2 linked regions of the Notamacropus eugenii genome follow. Each later gene encodes a partner of the first gene's protein in a complex. Links are inferred from orthologs where the notes say so. Each region holds a gene or a part of one and is shown on either strand. Other genes may lie near its edges.

What was found.
Region 2: RAN (region 1) and XPO5 share a complex: the UniProt entries of both Homo sapiens proteins name them as parts of the nuclear export receptor complex. The link is inferred for Notamacropus eugenii from reciprocal best matches to the Homo sapiens genes RAN and XPO5.

Annotation. Positions count from the first base shown.
Region 1 is NC_092875.1:46,255,194-46,263,160, reverse strand, and holds the start of RAN (GTP-binding nuclear protein Ran), read right to left. Parts: upstream 3,088-7,967; 5' UTR 3,011-3,087; intron 2,870-3,010; exon of another isoform or gene 2,104-2,869; intron 2,086-2,103; exon of another isoform or gene 1,920-2,085; intron 1,421-1,919; 5' UTR 1,411-1,420; coding exon 1,375-1,410; intron 917-1,374; coding exon 832-916; intron 748-831; coding exon 622-747; intron 1-621. UniProt on the Homo sapiens protein: GTPase involved in nucleocytoplasmic transport, participating both to the import and the export from the nucleus of proteins and RNAs. Switches between a cytoplasmic GDP- and a nuclear GTP-bound state by nucleotide exchange and GTP hydrolysis.
Region 2 is NC_092873.1:106,525,592-106,533,027, forward strand, and holds the start of XPO5 (exportin-5), read right to left. Parts: upstream 3,064-7,436; 5' UTR 2,867-3,063; coding exon 2,762-2,866; intron 1,711-2,761; coding exon 1,589-1,710; intron 565-1,588; coding exon 492-564; intron 1-491. Other genes in the region: POLH (DNA polymerase eta), read left to right, coding at 5,039-5,060, 6,782-6,878. UniProt on the Homo sapiens protein: Mediates the nuclear export of proteins bearing a double-stranded RNA binding domain (dsRBD) and double-stranded RNAs (cargos). XPO5 in the nucleus binds cooperatively to the RNA and to the GTPase Ran in its active GTP-bound form.

The sequences.
Region 1 (7,967 bases):
TTTACAACATTAAATCTTAAACAATTTTTTCAAGCTCCAGAGGCAAGACTTAATTTTTTGGAGTCCCAGGGACAATGGGCTTAAACACTCTAGACTTCAGTGTAAGCTTGAGAGAAATCCAATTTCAAGTTCTAAGTCCTATAATTTTTGCTCCAACACTTACTGTTATATATTTAGTTTATTTTCAAAGTGTAAAGATTTTTACAACTATGCACACTGACATGGTACCTTTCAAAAATTCAAATATAAAAGTTTACCTATTAGAAACAACTTGGTTAAATGTTACATGACTAACCAATGAAATATTATGCTACAACTTTAATACCTCAGACAAAATATATGGAGGTTCCTTTCTGCTGTTTTAATAAGGTCATAGCCATTTTAGATCTTAAGGAAAGGAACTTCAGCTGAACCCTTTTCATTTTACCTATCATCAAACATCTTGGATTTGGTATATCCAAGCAGACCAGCTGAGATTCAAATCTCAGTCCTCTATTAAACACAGGAGCTCCCCAAAGACCAGAAGTCACTTGTAAAAATGTTTATACATACACATATCTGAAAAAAACTTCTGGCAACATACAGCTGATATAACAACATGCAAAACAGTTGTATACATACCTTGGATGTAATAACCATCTCTCAGACCACCAAATTTCTCTTGGCCAGCTGTATCCCATACGTTGAATTTAATAGGACCTCTGTTAGTATGGAACACGAGAGGATGGACCTCAACACCCAGGGTGGCTGGAACAGCAAAAGGTTTTGACTTAGTTCACTGATTTTATTTTATTGAAATTGGTGCAACTAACTTGTAAAAAAGATACATACCTACATATTTCTTCTCAAATTCACCAGTCAAGTGACGTTTCACAAATGTGGTTTTTCCAGTACCTCCATCTCCAACTAATACAAGCTGTTGAAAAATAAAATATTTTAGGTGGACTTCTCAAAAACACACACAAACATTCTCCATTCCATGTATCAAACAATACCATCTAAATGTCTTAACATCCATTTCCACATACTATGGTGGATTCAGAGAGCTACCACAGTTTAAGTAATCAAGTATCAGACCGTTTTCAGGTTACATTTAACTGTTTTATGTATCAACTAAATCATCTAAATACTTTTTTGGAACATTCATTTGGCAAATACTAACTAGTTCCTTGTTGGATGAAAAAGCCTTACTACAGTTTAGGAGGTAATCAATTTATAAAGATTATTTCAAGGCCTGTTATGTAAGCTGGGATACGGGCGTGCAAACTCTGCTTCTCATCACAAGGCCTTGGGATCCAACGGTCTTTCCTGTGTCCTCAAGAGCCGCCCCAGCCCCCACCTCGGCGATCTCGGCCCCCCCCAGGAGTTACGTACTTTGAACTGCACTTGGGGTTCTCCTTGGGCGGCCATCGCGATGGTTCTGGGGGAGAGACACAAGCGCGTCAGGCCCTCGGACCCGAGGCCGCATGCTCGGGCTCCCCCTCCCCGCCACGTGCCCCGCGGCCCCACAAAGCGCCCCCTCCGCGCCCCTGCTCGGCCCATTCATCCCCGGCCCAGGCCGCGGCTCCTCCCCCCGCCCGCGTGGGGCGCCGACGGCGAGGAGGAGGGGGATGAATGAGGCGCTAATGGCGGCGGCCCTTTTTTTTCCCCCGAGCCTCGGGTTCATTCAACCGTCAGGGCCCGAAGGGCGTCTCCAGGAGACGCCAAAAAGGGGCGGTGGAGGCCGGACCGGGCCCGGGAAAACCGCCTGGTCATGGGGCCCGCGGCGGGAGGGGCGGGAGTGGCTGGAGGAGCGGGGAGGGAAGGCTAGGCCGCCCCCCCCACCGCACCCGCACCGCATTCGCAGCCTCTCCCGCCCCTTCCCCGGCTGCCTCACGATCCGCGGCCTCCGCACGGCCTGGCGGCCGGGGCCTCCTCACACAAAGCGCGCCAAGCCCGGCCCGGTCCGCCGCGGCCGCCCACCCCCCTAGGAGGAGAGACGGGGAGCCCGGCCCGCCGCCTCCTTCTCAGCGTCGGTCCTCGATGCCTTCCTGTCCAACACCCGCCCGCCCGGCCCCCCTTCCCCAGCCCGGGCCAACCCCCCGCGCCCCACTCCGCCGCTACCTTCCAGAAGCGTCTCCGTCTCCGCCTGACTGAACGATGGAAAGATGGCGGAAGCGCGATTCAAATACCCGGAGACGCAGCCGACGCCGCCGCGCGCGCGGAATAGGGAGGGGCCGAGGGGAGCGGAGGGGGGCGGGGCAACGGCGCAACGTGCCCCCACGTGCTCCGGGCGCCGCGCGCCCAAGTCGACGTTACGTTACCGGCTGTCCCCAAAAAAGGGAGAGAGGGCGGGGCCTAGGGGACGGGGGCGGGAAGAGAGAAACGGACTGACAGACCGGGGGCGCGCCGACGTTTGGGCTTTACAATGCAATCGGGAGCGCTGCGGCGGACTATGGCGCATGCGCCACCTCAAACGAGAACGCTCCCCACTCCTCTAATCCCTTCTACCCCCGCCCAGCTAAGCTTTTACCGCGCTCTCGCCTTCATGCTTTCCCCCCCCTGCGCATGCGCTTCTCAAAAGCCTGGCAGAGATTTATCCATGCCGCGAGACCGCGAGACCGCGGTGGAGAGATTTATCCATGCCGTCTTACCTTACCTTTACCGCGCTCTGGCGCTTGGCCTCGGTCCCACCTCGGCTCCCGGTTGGCGTGTGCGCATGCGCACGCGGCCCCCCCAGGCCCTGCTGAGGCAGCCGCGGGAGCGCGCTCGAGCTCTAGTTCCTTCTTTCCCGGCCCCACCTACCTTTCACCGCGCTCTCGCCCCCGCCTCGGCGCGCAGCCGGCTCGTGCGCATGCGCCCCAAAGGACCTGCTGGGAGCGCGCGCCCCAACCGCCTCTGGAGGGAGGTGGGCTCCCGCCAACGGGAGACGCGAGGGCCTCTCCTGCGTCAGGCCCGATGTCTGCCGGGCTTTAGGGTCCGAGCTTGAACCTTCCAGGAAACCGCAAAAGCCGAGACGCAAAGCACTAACCAGAATAAAGCTAACCGTGGGCGTCAGACGGGGCGAAGCGCTTCGCAGAGCGCCCCCTACGCGCCGCGGTGTTATTGCTGACAACATCCGCACCCTCTGGTTCGGCCTTCGCTAACAGCGAGGTCGTGCCCAAGCCTTGATGGAGCGCGGCCTGTGTGGAGGGCACGGCGCCCTCGCGTCACGGAAGGGGAAACTGAGTCAGGGAGGCTCGCCCGGCCTCCTTCCCGCTGCCCCCCACGCCCGCCTCGATGACCCTCGCTGGTTCTCCTCCAAGGGATTTAAAGGCTCGGCAGTCCTCCGAGGAGCCAAGCCGCCTTCCCCCAAGGAGCTTCGCCCAGTCCGGCTTGGGCCCCGGGATGGCTCACCCCCGGTAGATGGAGAGCGGGGAGGGTGCACGTGCTGGAGATGAATGCTGATGCGCTCATCCGGGGCTGAGCCACCCAGCCAGCCCAGGTCCAGCTGCAGTGACTCCCATCCTAACCATGCTGGACACGGGCACGTTCGGGGCTGCGTAAAGGGTCTGACGGGGAGGGAGAGGGTCTGGATGGGTGAATCCTCTGCCCCTCCAGCCATGAGGGTCAGCCCTAGCGCTGGAAGAAATCCAGGCAGCTAGGGGTGCAGAGGGTGGATCCTGGGGACCCAGAGCTGCGTTCAAGTGTGGCTTCAAACACCGGGCTGTGTGACTCTGGGCCAGCCCCTTAACCTGTCTCTGTCTGCCTCAGACTCCTCCAAGGCTTGTTGTGAGGATCGGATGAGACGCTTGGCACAGAGCAGGTTTTTTTTAAAAAATCTCTTTTTTTGAGGCAATGAGGGTTAAGTGACTTGGCTAGGGTCTCACAGCTACTAAGTGTCTGAGGTCATATTTGAACTCAGGTCCTCCTGACTCAGAAAGGGCTCAAGTCCTCTATCTACTGTGCCACCTAGCTGCCTGGACTCTTTGTAAGATACTGTGCTAAGTCCTGGACATACAAAACTAAAAACTGACAGTTGCTGACCACAAAGAGGTCACATTCTATACAATAATGATTTCCATTTATATAACACTAAGGTTTACAAAACACTTTTCGCTGAACAACCCTGTAAAATAGCCTAAATATTATCACTTTTACAGATAAGAAAAAGTATCAAATTGAGATTTGAATTCATGATGGATGAATGGTCCAATTCTTTCCACTGTCATTCTCTGAGTCTCAATTTCCTTATTTACAAATTGGATATAAGATTATAAACACAAGGTTGTGGTAAGGCTCAAATGTAAAATACATGTAAAACACTTTGCAAGCCTGAAGGCATTATATAAATATTAGCTGTTATCATACCAGTCTTCCTCTCATGGAACCTTCAAGACATCTTGTCAAAACAAATCAGTCAATCAAGCACCTTTTATTATGTCCTTAATATGTGCGGGACCCTGTTAGTGCTAGGCATATAAAGTGAAGCTGAAGGTTCCTACTCTCAGAGAACTCACATTATAGTGGGGGAAGATAAAAAATAAAATCAGCCTAAAAAGGAGGGGGAGGGATAAAGTATATGCTCAGGGAGATGGTGGTTGTTGCTTGTCCTTGTTTTGCAAGAGGACTAATATCACAGGGTGATGTCTTCACTTGTGTGTGAATTGAATCTGAGAACTGAAGTTGCAGCATTAGCACTCTCTTCTAGAGTCACCAAAGTCCAGTGGCAAGACAAAAGTTTTGGGAGTTAAAGGAATGGTGGTAAAGTCTGGAGAGCCAGTAGAGCTGGGAGAGGCTGGAAGGATGACTGGCCTGGACACTTTCCCAAAACGGAGGTTTCAAAAGGAACTCCCCAATGAGAAAAGAGGGTCTTAGCACAAAGGGATGTTCCAGAGTGAGGAAGCCACTGACTCTAGTGAAACTTCAAGGCTGAGAAGGTGGCTGATGCACAGTAAAAAGTCTAGAGAATCTGGAATACACTGGTAGAGGAACTTGTAATTGACCAGAGAAACAACATTCCCAACAAGTAGTCATTCTATTTTGAACTTGTTCAATGGCCAGATAGCCATAGATAGAAATTCTGGGAGAGGGTGCTGCCCCTCCTCCATGGGCAAATCCAACAATCCAGTCTACTCCAAGAAATATTTTTAAGTGTCCATTATGTCTAAAATATCATGCTAAATGGTGGGATTAAAAAGAGAAAACAAAACCCAATCCATTTCCCTCAAGGAATTTACAAGAGGCAGAGTGGGGACTTATTAAGTATATACACACATGATTTTTTTGAGATTGATAGAACACTAATGATCAGGGGCATCAGGGAAGATTTCCTCTAGGAAATGACACAAATTGAGCCTTGAAAGAAGCCAGAAATTCTGAGAGGTAACAAGGAAATACAAATGCTTTGGACATGAAGCTAAATTAAAATCTGGACTGGAGAATATTATTTGTACAAGCATGTATGTTTAGCTTAAATAAGAGAATCCTGAGGAGACATGGTATCTGTCTTCAAATATCTGAAGGGCTGACACAGGGAAGACGGGGTTCTGCATGCCTAGAAGGTAGAACTAAAAGCATTGGGTAAAAGTTGCAAACTGAAATCAACAAACATTTATTAAACTCCTACTATGTCCTAGGCACTATGCTTAGTTGTTGCTGTACTTGTCCTTCATTTTCAAAGAGGACCATGACATCAGGAAAATGATGACATGACTTGTAGTTGACTTTGACTTGAGTGCAGGAGGGCTGTGCAAGGTCACACTTTCTCCCCATAAGCCATCTGGATCCAGTGACCTGATATTCATCAGGATGACTGGAGATGGCCCAGGATGCAAAGGGAGACCCTGGCTTGCCCTTTTAGGCTAAGGCTTTTTTTGGTACTCCCTTAGAGTGAGGTAATGCCCATTCAGTGAATAGGCTTCTTTAAGTAGTCAAGGGAAGGCCCCTTTAATTAGAAAAATAAAAAAAAGTCAAGCTGGGAGGGTAAGGCCCTCAGGGTTGCTGTTCCAAAGAGCAACACTTACCACTGAGACTCACTCTAGGAGGACCCTCTCACCCAGGAGGGTCCAAAAAACAGTCATTAAGTGGAGATTGGACAGGGACCTATTGTAGTTCAATCCACTATATAAGAAAGAATTGGCTTTAAACAAACATATACTATGCTTAGTGCAGGAAATACAAATACCAGCATTAGGAAAGATAGTTCCTGCCCTGAAGGAAGGCAATAACAATGTATAGAAAGAAGCTGAGAAGGTACCAGGGTCTAGGCATGATGGAGAAAGTCCAGAGAGTCAAGGGTGGAGCCCAGAAAAGAAGGACAACCTGACTGGCCTGGGCACTCTCCTTAAAATAGAGGATTGGGGAGGAGTTGACCAATCAGAAGAAGAGGCAGAGAGAATTTCTAGGGTGAGAAGGCTACCATGGCATGGTTGAGGATGTCAGAAGAGTCAGAAGTAGATCCTGGAGAAGTCAAGAATGATGTTTAGGTTTGATATCAGAAAAAAATTTCCTTATATCAAGATATAAGGAGATGTCACGTTCTGCAGAGCTAAAGCCCAGCAAGCAAGTTGTACTCTGAACTTAGCATAACAACAATCCTTTGCACTCACTTCTGTAACTAATGGTCCCTGAGCTGAGACAAACACAACAGGCTCAGACATGAAGCCCTGCTACGAATGGACTCTAAAAGGACCCCAACCCTCAGAGTTCAGAGCACACCTCAAGTGAACTGCAGAAGGACTCCAGGAAGGGAAAGAAAGGACTTCCATCTATCAAGGAACTGTGAATTACCCCTTTGCCATATATATTTTCTAAAGTTTAACCTAATTTCCCCTAGATGCTATATATAGTTGTGGGTGAATATATCCCAGTCTTTTGGGGGGAATGTTTTGGGGTTTTTGGCCAATTATTATTACTATACAGCTTTAGTAAATATAGTACCCCTAACTAAAAAGTTAATTAACTCTGACTTGCTAATTGATACTAACTGGTTAAGCAATGGGGAGTACACTGATGGGGGCTCAAGAGAAATAGTACTAGAAAAATCCCTAATACCTCAGAATTACCCCTAGAACCATGGAATGAAAGATAATCAACTGTCCTCTGGGTTTCCAGCCTGCTTACGTGGAAGTTGGGTTAGTGATCCCTGAAGGTGTGTTCTACTTTACATTGTTGTGGTCATTGAGCAAATTGTTCTTTAGGTTCTACTCACTTCACTCTGAATCCATTTATACAAGTTTGTGGTTTTTTTTTTCTCAAGTTTCTCTGAAACCTTTCATTTCATTACCTCTTATGACAGAATAACATTCTATTACATTCAAATACCATTATTTATTGAGCCATTATACAGTGGATGGCATTCCTTCAGTTTCCGTTCTTCACTAGAACAAATCAAGCTACTATTAGTATTTCTTTTAATATATGGGTCTTTTCTTACTTCCTTTGACATTTTTGGAATATAGGCCAATAGTGATATCATAAGTCAAAGAGTAAAAAAATGGTTTAGTAACTTTATAGGGATAGTGCTAAATTGTTTTCCAGAATGGCTGAACAATTTGCAGCTATACCAACAACAGATGATTCAGCATGTTTTTCTACATCTCCTCCAAAATCTGCCATTTTCTTTTTTTTTTTTTGTCTTTTTAAGTCTATCATCTTTTCAATCTTTTTTAAAATTTGATGGATGTGAGATAGAACTTCAGAACTGTTTTCATTTGTATTTCTTTTATTATGAGTGATTTTGAAGGGTTGTTTTTTTTTTTATTATGGTTGTTGATTGCTTGGATTTCTTCCTTTGGGAACTGCCTGTTTTTATCCTAATACCTGTTGGGGAATAGTTCTTGTATATACATAGATTTTTAAATCAGATCCTTAAATATTTTGAATATAAAATCTTTATTAGAGAAACTTGCCGCTAAGATTTTTGCCCATTTAGTTGTTTCCTTTCTAATTGTAATTATATTCATTTTGTTTATACAGGTTTTAAAAACATAGTCCATTTTATCTAA
Region 2 (7,436 bases), on another chromosome or scaffold:
AAGTCAGATCTAAAAAGCTTAGACTCCTGAACACAAGAATTGACCACTTAAAGAAGTTAATATTAAATGAAGCAATGATAAAATCCTTAAATTTGCTTGAAACATTTATGCAGGTAGCCCTCTGAATGAAATTTATTAAGCACTTTTTGAATTCAGCTTAAGAAATAGAATGTTTCACACATTCAAGAAAAAAATACAGTTTTTATAGGGACCACCACTTAAAATCATTATTTCACTACCATATAAACCATAGGGGGGACCTTCTTCCTTTTTGGAATAGAAACACCATTGGTCTGTGTCATTCCTGCCCCCCTGCCCCCAACCTTCACCCCCATCAATGGCATTGTAAAATTTCTACAATGTTATCTGATTTCTGTCAAACTGGTTATTACACAAAAAGTTCACACCATACTCCCCAAATCATTATTAAAAGAGCAGCACCTCATTTTAATCTACCCTTAGCAGAAGTTCTCCAACTACTTATTACTTACACTTGATATCAGCCCCATGACATTGTTCTTTAGAAACACCTTCTCCAGGCGAGACATGTTGTTCCACCGAAACCTGGCCAGCAAAATGGAGAAATGCAATAGATATACACTGAGAAGACATGGAACATTTTATAAAGTGAGAAACAGAACTGTTCCCCGACCTCAATTATGCTGTCACATCCATCAAAGAATCTACTGATAAATGTACTTTTGATTCTACATGTATACAAATACTTTCATTCTGAAGATTAGACTTGAGAGACTCCAGAGTAGGGTGTACAATCCCAATACCAACATGACTCTGAGAATAGATTTTAATGTGCACAAAAGCTAATAGTGGAAAACCACATACACAGAAACATCTATTTATTGTCCTTTCATTTTGATGAAGTAAAATAAATATATACCCCTGATAACTGCTAAGACAATAAGAGGACCTTGATGCTATCTGACTAGGTAGTATAACTTTCTTGGATATTAAGGTGATATTTACAATTCTGGTGTAAATCTAGTTTAGTGTATAAACACCAACTGTTGCAATGGTAGTTGGCCTAGAGAGTACAGATGACCAAAATTAGGAAGCTGGCATGTGGGAGCTTTTGATATTTCTGGATAATGCTACACTAGTCATCATACATGAACTGTTCATGTACTCAGAACTGAGCAAGGTTCTCAGAAAGGTCATGAGGTACAGAAACGTAGAACCAGAAAGACCACATTAGATTCTGAATGTTTACAAAATGCTTGCCTCACATCATGCCCCCAGATCCTACCAACAACTCAGTAAGGTAGAATTTATACTACAGGCATTAATTTCACTTTACAGGGAAAAAAACAAGGCAAGAGAGATTGAGTGCCTATGCTCACTCAGTTAGCAAGCACCTGAGGCAGAATTCTAGCTCAATTTCTGCTGATTTCAAGTCCAATACCGGGAAACTTCCTTGGATAGGATTTTGTCTAGTAATAGGAAGACTATGTACGCATATGTCAAAAGTCACCAGAAAAAGAAAAACAATCCTTAATATTCAGAAGGTTCAGTGGGAAAACTACAGGCTATATGAGGCTAAAATGATCTCAGGTACATAAGAGTCTCTTACTTGACAACATGCTCCAGGATCTGAAGGCCAAAGTGTCTAACTATTGGAGTTTGTGTTTTCTCAGCCAACTTCAGGCCACAAGGGACACAAATGGGGCACTTTTCTTTAAACTCTTCACAAAACTGAGGAAAAGAAAATAGATAATGCTTTTACTAGCAGCTGAGGAATAAAAAATATGAAGAGGATTATTTGGTATTGTCAGCAAGGAAACACATATCGAGGTATGAACAAAGAAACAAAAATATTCTTCATTCATTATCTTTACTTTTTTGATTTGTCACCCCAGCCAAACAGATTAAAATGAAACAATACTTCAGCCCGATGAAGAGATCTAGTTATTCCGATTCCGCTCCTTGTGCACAAGATGAACATTCATAAAGTTATGAAGCTTTCTTTTCGGGGTGGGGTGGAGCAAATCAGTCATTACCTGTACAACTCCTGTTTAACACGGGAGTGTGATTCTGCCCCCTCCCCAGCTTCACCAACGCGCACGGCCACGACCCTCCTTCCCCCACAAACCCCAGAAGACCATTTCCTCAAGGACACCGCCACCGTTGAAAGGAAAATGCAAAACTTGACGTTCAGCTCCATGCAACGGAGCCTGGACACCACGAGCTCAAATCCTAGAGTTCTAGAGTGTGGGGGGGCGGTGACTGGTGACTGAGAATGGGCAGAGATGAAGGGAGGGAGATGCTTATAAACCACACCAAAGGAATGCCAGCCAGGAAGAAGTCCGGGCAGGGCACGGGACCGGGCCGCACGTTCACAGGTAGCAGAGCAGGGTGAGGAGAGATCACAGAGCGGGGTGAACGGGGGAAAGGAAGAAGGCACGCAGACTGCCCGGGGAAGGCAGCGAGGGCTGCAGGCACTATTGTGCCCGACTGCTGGAAGAGAAGGGGGGATGGGCAGGCGAGGATGGGGCGTGGGGGAGTAGCCGGCAGCCAGGGCCCGGGAAATGGCATGGCGGTGGGAAGGGGCCTGGGTGCGGCGGGGTGAGCCGGGCCGGGGGAGGGGATGTGGAGGAGCTGCATCAGAGGGGCGCCAGGGAGCACGGGGGAGGGGTTCGCAGGCCTCGTGGGCCCCAGGCCGGAGCGGAGCCGCGGGCCCGGCGTCCGCAGCGCGTGGACTCCTCGGCGGTGCCAGACGCCCCCCGAACTCCGCTTTGCAGGTTACCTTGAGGGCCTCGAGGCGGTAACGCTGGGTGGAGCTCGGGTCCATCATGACCGTCACCGCCCTCACCAGCTGCTCGCACAGACCGTTCACTTCATCCGTCGACATGGCGAGAATCCCCCCGTGCGGCGCGCGCCCACCCCCGGAGCACGAGGCAGCTCTCCGCTATACCCGCAACCAGGGCCGCAAGCGCTCCCACACCGGGGCCGCACCGCGCAACAGCGCCCGGGGAAGACCAGGAGCGGAGGGCAGCAGAGCTACGGAGCGAGCACCAACCGCTCCGAGTGGGGAGGGGGGAAAAAGAGGAGGAGGAAGAGGAGGAGGAGGAAGAGGAGGAGAGGGAGGAGGAGCCAAGGAAAAGGGGAGGAGGGAGGCAACCACCCTGCGCACGCGCCGCCGCCCCTCCACGGCGCGCGCACTCGGGTCCAGCCACTGCGCAAGCGCCCCCTCCAGGGGAGGGTAGAGGGGGCGGGCCTTTGGCCACCACGGGGCGGGGGTGATGGGGTGGAGTTTAGCGTGCACGAAGCGCGAAACCTGAAGGTCTAAGTGCGCAGGCGTTTCAACGGTTTCCGGCGACCAAAGGCCAGTCCTGGTCTAGTCTGGGTTTGAGCTGCTGCTTGGCGCGGCGGTCGAGTCGGACGAGATGGGGACATCTTAGCCGGGTGTCTGACAGCGGGCGTGGAGGAGGGGCGATCGCCTTCTTCGCCAGGCCCGGCCCGCCTTCCTCCCCTTCGGCAGGCGGCGCGTCTCCTGTCAGACGGACGCCGAGCACGGCGGACCCCGGCCGGCGGCGCGCGCAGGTGGATCCCTGGCCTTGGTAGGAGAATTGTGGGCCCCCTTCCGCAGGAGCTGCCTTGGTTCTCGGCTTGACGGGACGCCGCTTTCGGTGACACCGGCCGGTCCCGGGGCCGGGAGCCGGGCTCGTCCTGCCGCCGAGTCTTGGCCATCCTGTGCTGCAGAACTGGAGCCTGGAAGTCTGACAGAATCGCGGTTGGATCTGATTGGGTCGTCTTGGGGGCAGTATCTTAGCTGTCCAAGCCGGGGTGCCAGACTAGGGACTCCGAAAACTGCCCTTACGGTACTTACTGGGATGTCGTATCATCTGAAAGGATCCCCGCGAAGAGATGGGAGCATTTAGGGGTGGCCCAGTGCGGCTAGGAAGGGTTAGTTTAAGGGAGAGCCCATCCTAAAAGAGAATAAAAACAGGTATTTTAAACCAGACGATGTAATAGTGATCATCGTTATCAGGGTCAGCACCGACTGGAAAGAAACTTCCTCCAGTGTCTGTTTTTGTGTTCTGTGCAATCTCATTTACATATTGTATTCGCTGATATTTATGTCTTATATCCCCAACCCCCATTCGATCACTTGTTCCTCTAATCTTTCCTGTTATTTTAAGTGCCTTTTTTTCCCCACTGGCAGTCTGATTCTTTTTCGTCTTCGTAGTTTCATAAAGTTGCTACCATGATCCACTTTCCAAGGCTGAGTTATCTCTGTTACATGAGAACTTAAACTGCGGATATATTACATCCTTCTTTAGCTATTATTGTTCAGTGAACTAAAATTGATTTCCTTCTTTCAGTCAGATATCTCAAATAATAAAGAGATATTATTTTCTTAATCTTTTTTTGCACATTTCCAAATTAATAGCATTGAGACATACTATAACTTTTACCAGTTGAATCCTGTTTTCTGTTCTAGAATATGGTTGGATGCTTAAAATATGGTTGGGTGCTCAACTGTCAACCTCTGTCTCCTATTTACATCTATACTCCTTCCTCTCTGCTCATTTATGTTTCCTGTGGTTTTCAACTTAGTACTTCCTAAGCACTCTGAAATATACTTGTGCATTGTTCACTCCAACTTCCAGATTAATAACAATGATAAATATCACTAACCTTACTACCTAATGAATTATACTTTTTTGGTTTTCCGTTTCCTTTGTCCTCAATAAAGAGGTCAAATAAAAATGTGTAAGTGATTTAGGTTTCCTCTCTAGAAATACCATCTCATTGCTCTTTTCTGTGTTGGTCTTGGGTTCACCCAAGTCCTATCTGGGAATATTGTATTTTTTCCAGTTACTTGTAAAAACAATTTTTAACATACATTTAAAAAACGTTTTTGAGTTTCAAATTCTCTCCCTTCCTTCCCTCCCCCTCATCTCTCTGAGATGGGAAGTTATATATAGGTTATACATGTACAATCATGCAAAAGATCAAGTTCTCTCCCCGGACCCAAGCTCAATTATTCTCTCCTAGAAGCTTTCGGCTGTTCTGATGGATGATAAAGAATTCATGTGTTAGTGAGTCAGAATTCATTATCTTCCTACCCTTACTCTCTCCCCTTCCCATCTTCCCTGTTTCTGTAAAGGGCCCTCCTCATCCTTCCAGACAACTTGGTTTGCAACTTCAGAGTCATCAGCACTCCTTCATTCTCCCTCACCCCTTGTGTCCAGTCAGTTGCCAAATTCCCGGGATAAAATACAAATTTTCCTGTTTGGCATTTGAAACCCACCACCACCTAACCCTAACCAACCTATTTTTCCAGACAGTTGCACATGACCCCTTGTCATGCATTTTTCTTCTAGCCAAATTGGCCAACTTGTTTTCTCCAAACTTGACATTTTCATAGTCAAATATCTCATGTCCTAAATTTACTGCCTCTTTACTTGTGCCTCTTAGGATCTGTAGACTGCTTCAAGGCACAGCACCAAGAGATTTCTCCTGAAATTAATCCTTTACTTATCTCTCCCCCTCTATATGTTAGTATTCTTCCTACCTCACTGTGGCTATTTTGTATTTATTTTATATTGACCTTTCTATGTACATTTTTGTTGTCTCATAAGAGAATGTAAACTCCTTGAGGACAAAAATTGTTTCATCTTTCTTTGTATTCCTACTGTCTAGCACAACTTCATGCACATAGTAGGCCCTTAATAAATGTTTGTTGAATTGGCATAGTAGATAAAGAGAGCACTGGGCTTGGGATCAGGAAGAACCATATTTGTGAGTTCAAATCCAGCCCCAGATACTAGCTGTGTGACCCTGAGTACTTTATTTAACCCTGTTGGCCTCAGTTTCTTCATCCATAAAATGAGTTGGAGAAAGAAATTGCAAACCACTCCAGTATCTTTGCCACGAAAACCCCAAATGGGCTCATGAAGAGTCAGAAACAACTGAACAACACAATTTTGATCCCTCTAAAATATTTTATTGAATTATATATAGTAACCATACTGAATTATCCTTAGTGATTTCAGGTTGCTTTAAAACTTAAAAAGTACGCTGGTTTCTGTAGCAAAATACATAAACTGAATAAAGTCATTCATACTCTGTCTAGTAGAATTGTGAGTTAATCTTTTAACTGGCTATTTTGTGCAGTATTAAAAAGTGGTAGTTTAAATAATCCAAGAAAGAGTCTTTGTGTTATGTCATGCTACAGACTAGTTAACTAGAATTTGATGAAACTAAGTGAAAAAAAGAATTTTCAAATGTGGGTTACTTTTAGCCCATTCTAGCCCAGGTTTTATGATTATCAAGAACCTTCAAATTGCCTCATTATAGGAAGGTAGGAAGAAATTCCTCTTAGGGTTAAGTGGAAACCTTCCAAAACATATTTCTCTCACATGGTATTCTTAATAATTCCTCCAAACTAATAAACAATTTTTTCCTGCAGGTGGACATTAGCTGTTCTTAAAAGAATGGCTATTATATCAAAACTTAGTTTCTTCTTTATCTATTTTGCTCTTGCTTAGCCTTAGTAGAAAGGAGATAAAATTGAATTTCACAGATGAAACTGAAAGCCAAAGTTAATCAACAGTTTCATCTAATTTCTCCTACAACTTTAAAAAAATTTGTGTAACCACAGACTAGGTCCTTATAGTGTAGTTTTTACCAATGCTTCTGATAAATTGAATTTTTGAATAAGCATTATCAAACTTGACGTTACATTGTTAGCTTTCGGCACTGAGAATTTTTAGAGTAAGATTTAAAGATCATCTAATTCAATCCTTTCATTTTACAGATGAGAAAACTGTTCTGTTCTTCACCTTGTTTCCATCTTTTAAAACTGAAATCATATGCTACCTCTTATGTGAAGATTTCCCTGATGCCCATAGAAGGTAAAGATCTTCCTCTTTATGCCTAATGCTTTTACACTTTTTGTAATATACTTGTAATATTTTAGATTGTAGTTATCTGTTTTTGTGCCTTAAATTTTCTGAGCTTTATTAGTTCATTAGTTCTCAACATCACACAAATTACCTGAAAAGGGTTATGTTTGACATACTCTATTCAATGCAGGAAATATTTATTTAAGCCCATACCATGTGCACAGGACTGTGTTAGACTCTAAGGAAATACAGTTTATGTAAGATATTCTTTTTGACTTGATGGGGCTAAAAGTCTAGTAGTGGGATAAAGAAGGAAGAAAACAAGCATTTATTAAGTGCCCACTGTTTAGCTAGGTGCTGTTACAATTATTATCTCATTTTATCCCCTCAGTAACATTGGGAGGTAGGTTCTGTTATTATCCTTATTTTGCAGTTGAGTAAACTAAGACAAACAGATCAAGTTACTTGCCCAGGCCCATACAGCTAGGAAATGTTTGTAGCTAGATTGGAACTCTAGATTGGTTTTCTGACTTTAGGCCCAGCATTCTATCTACTGCACCAACTAGC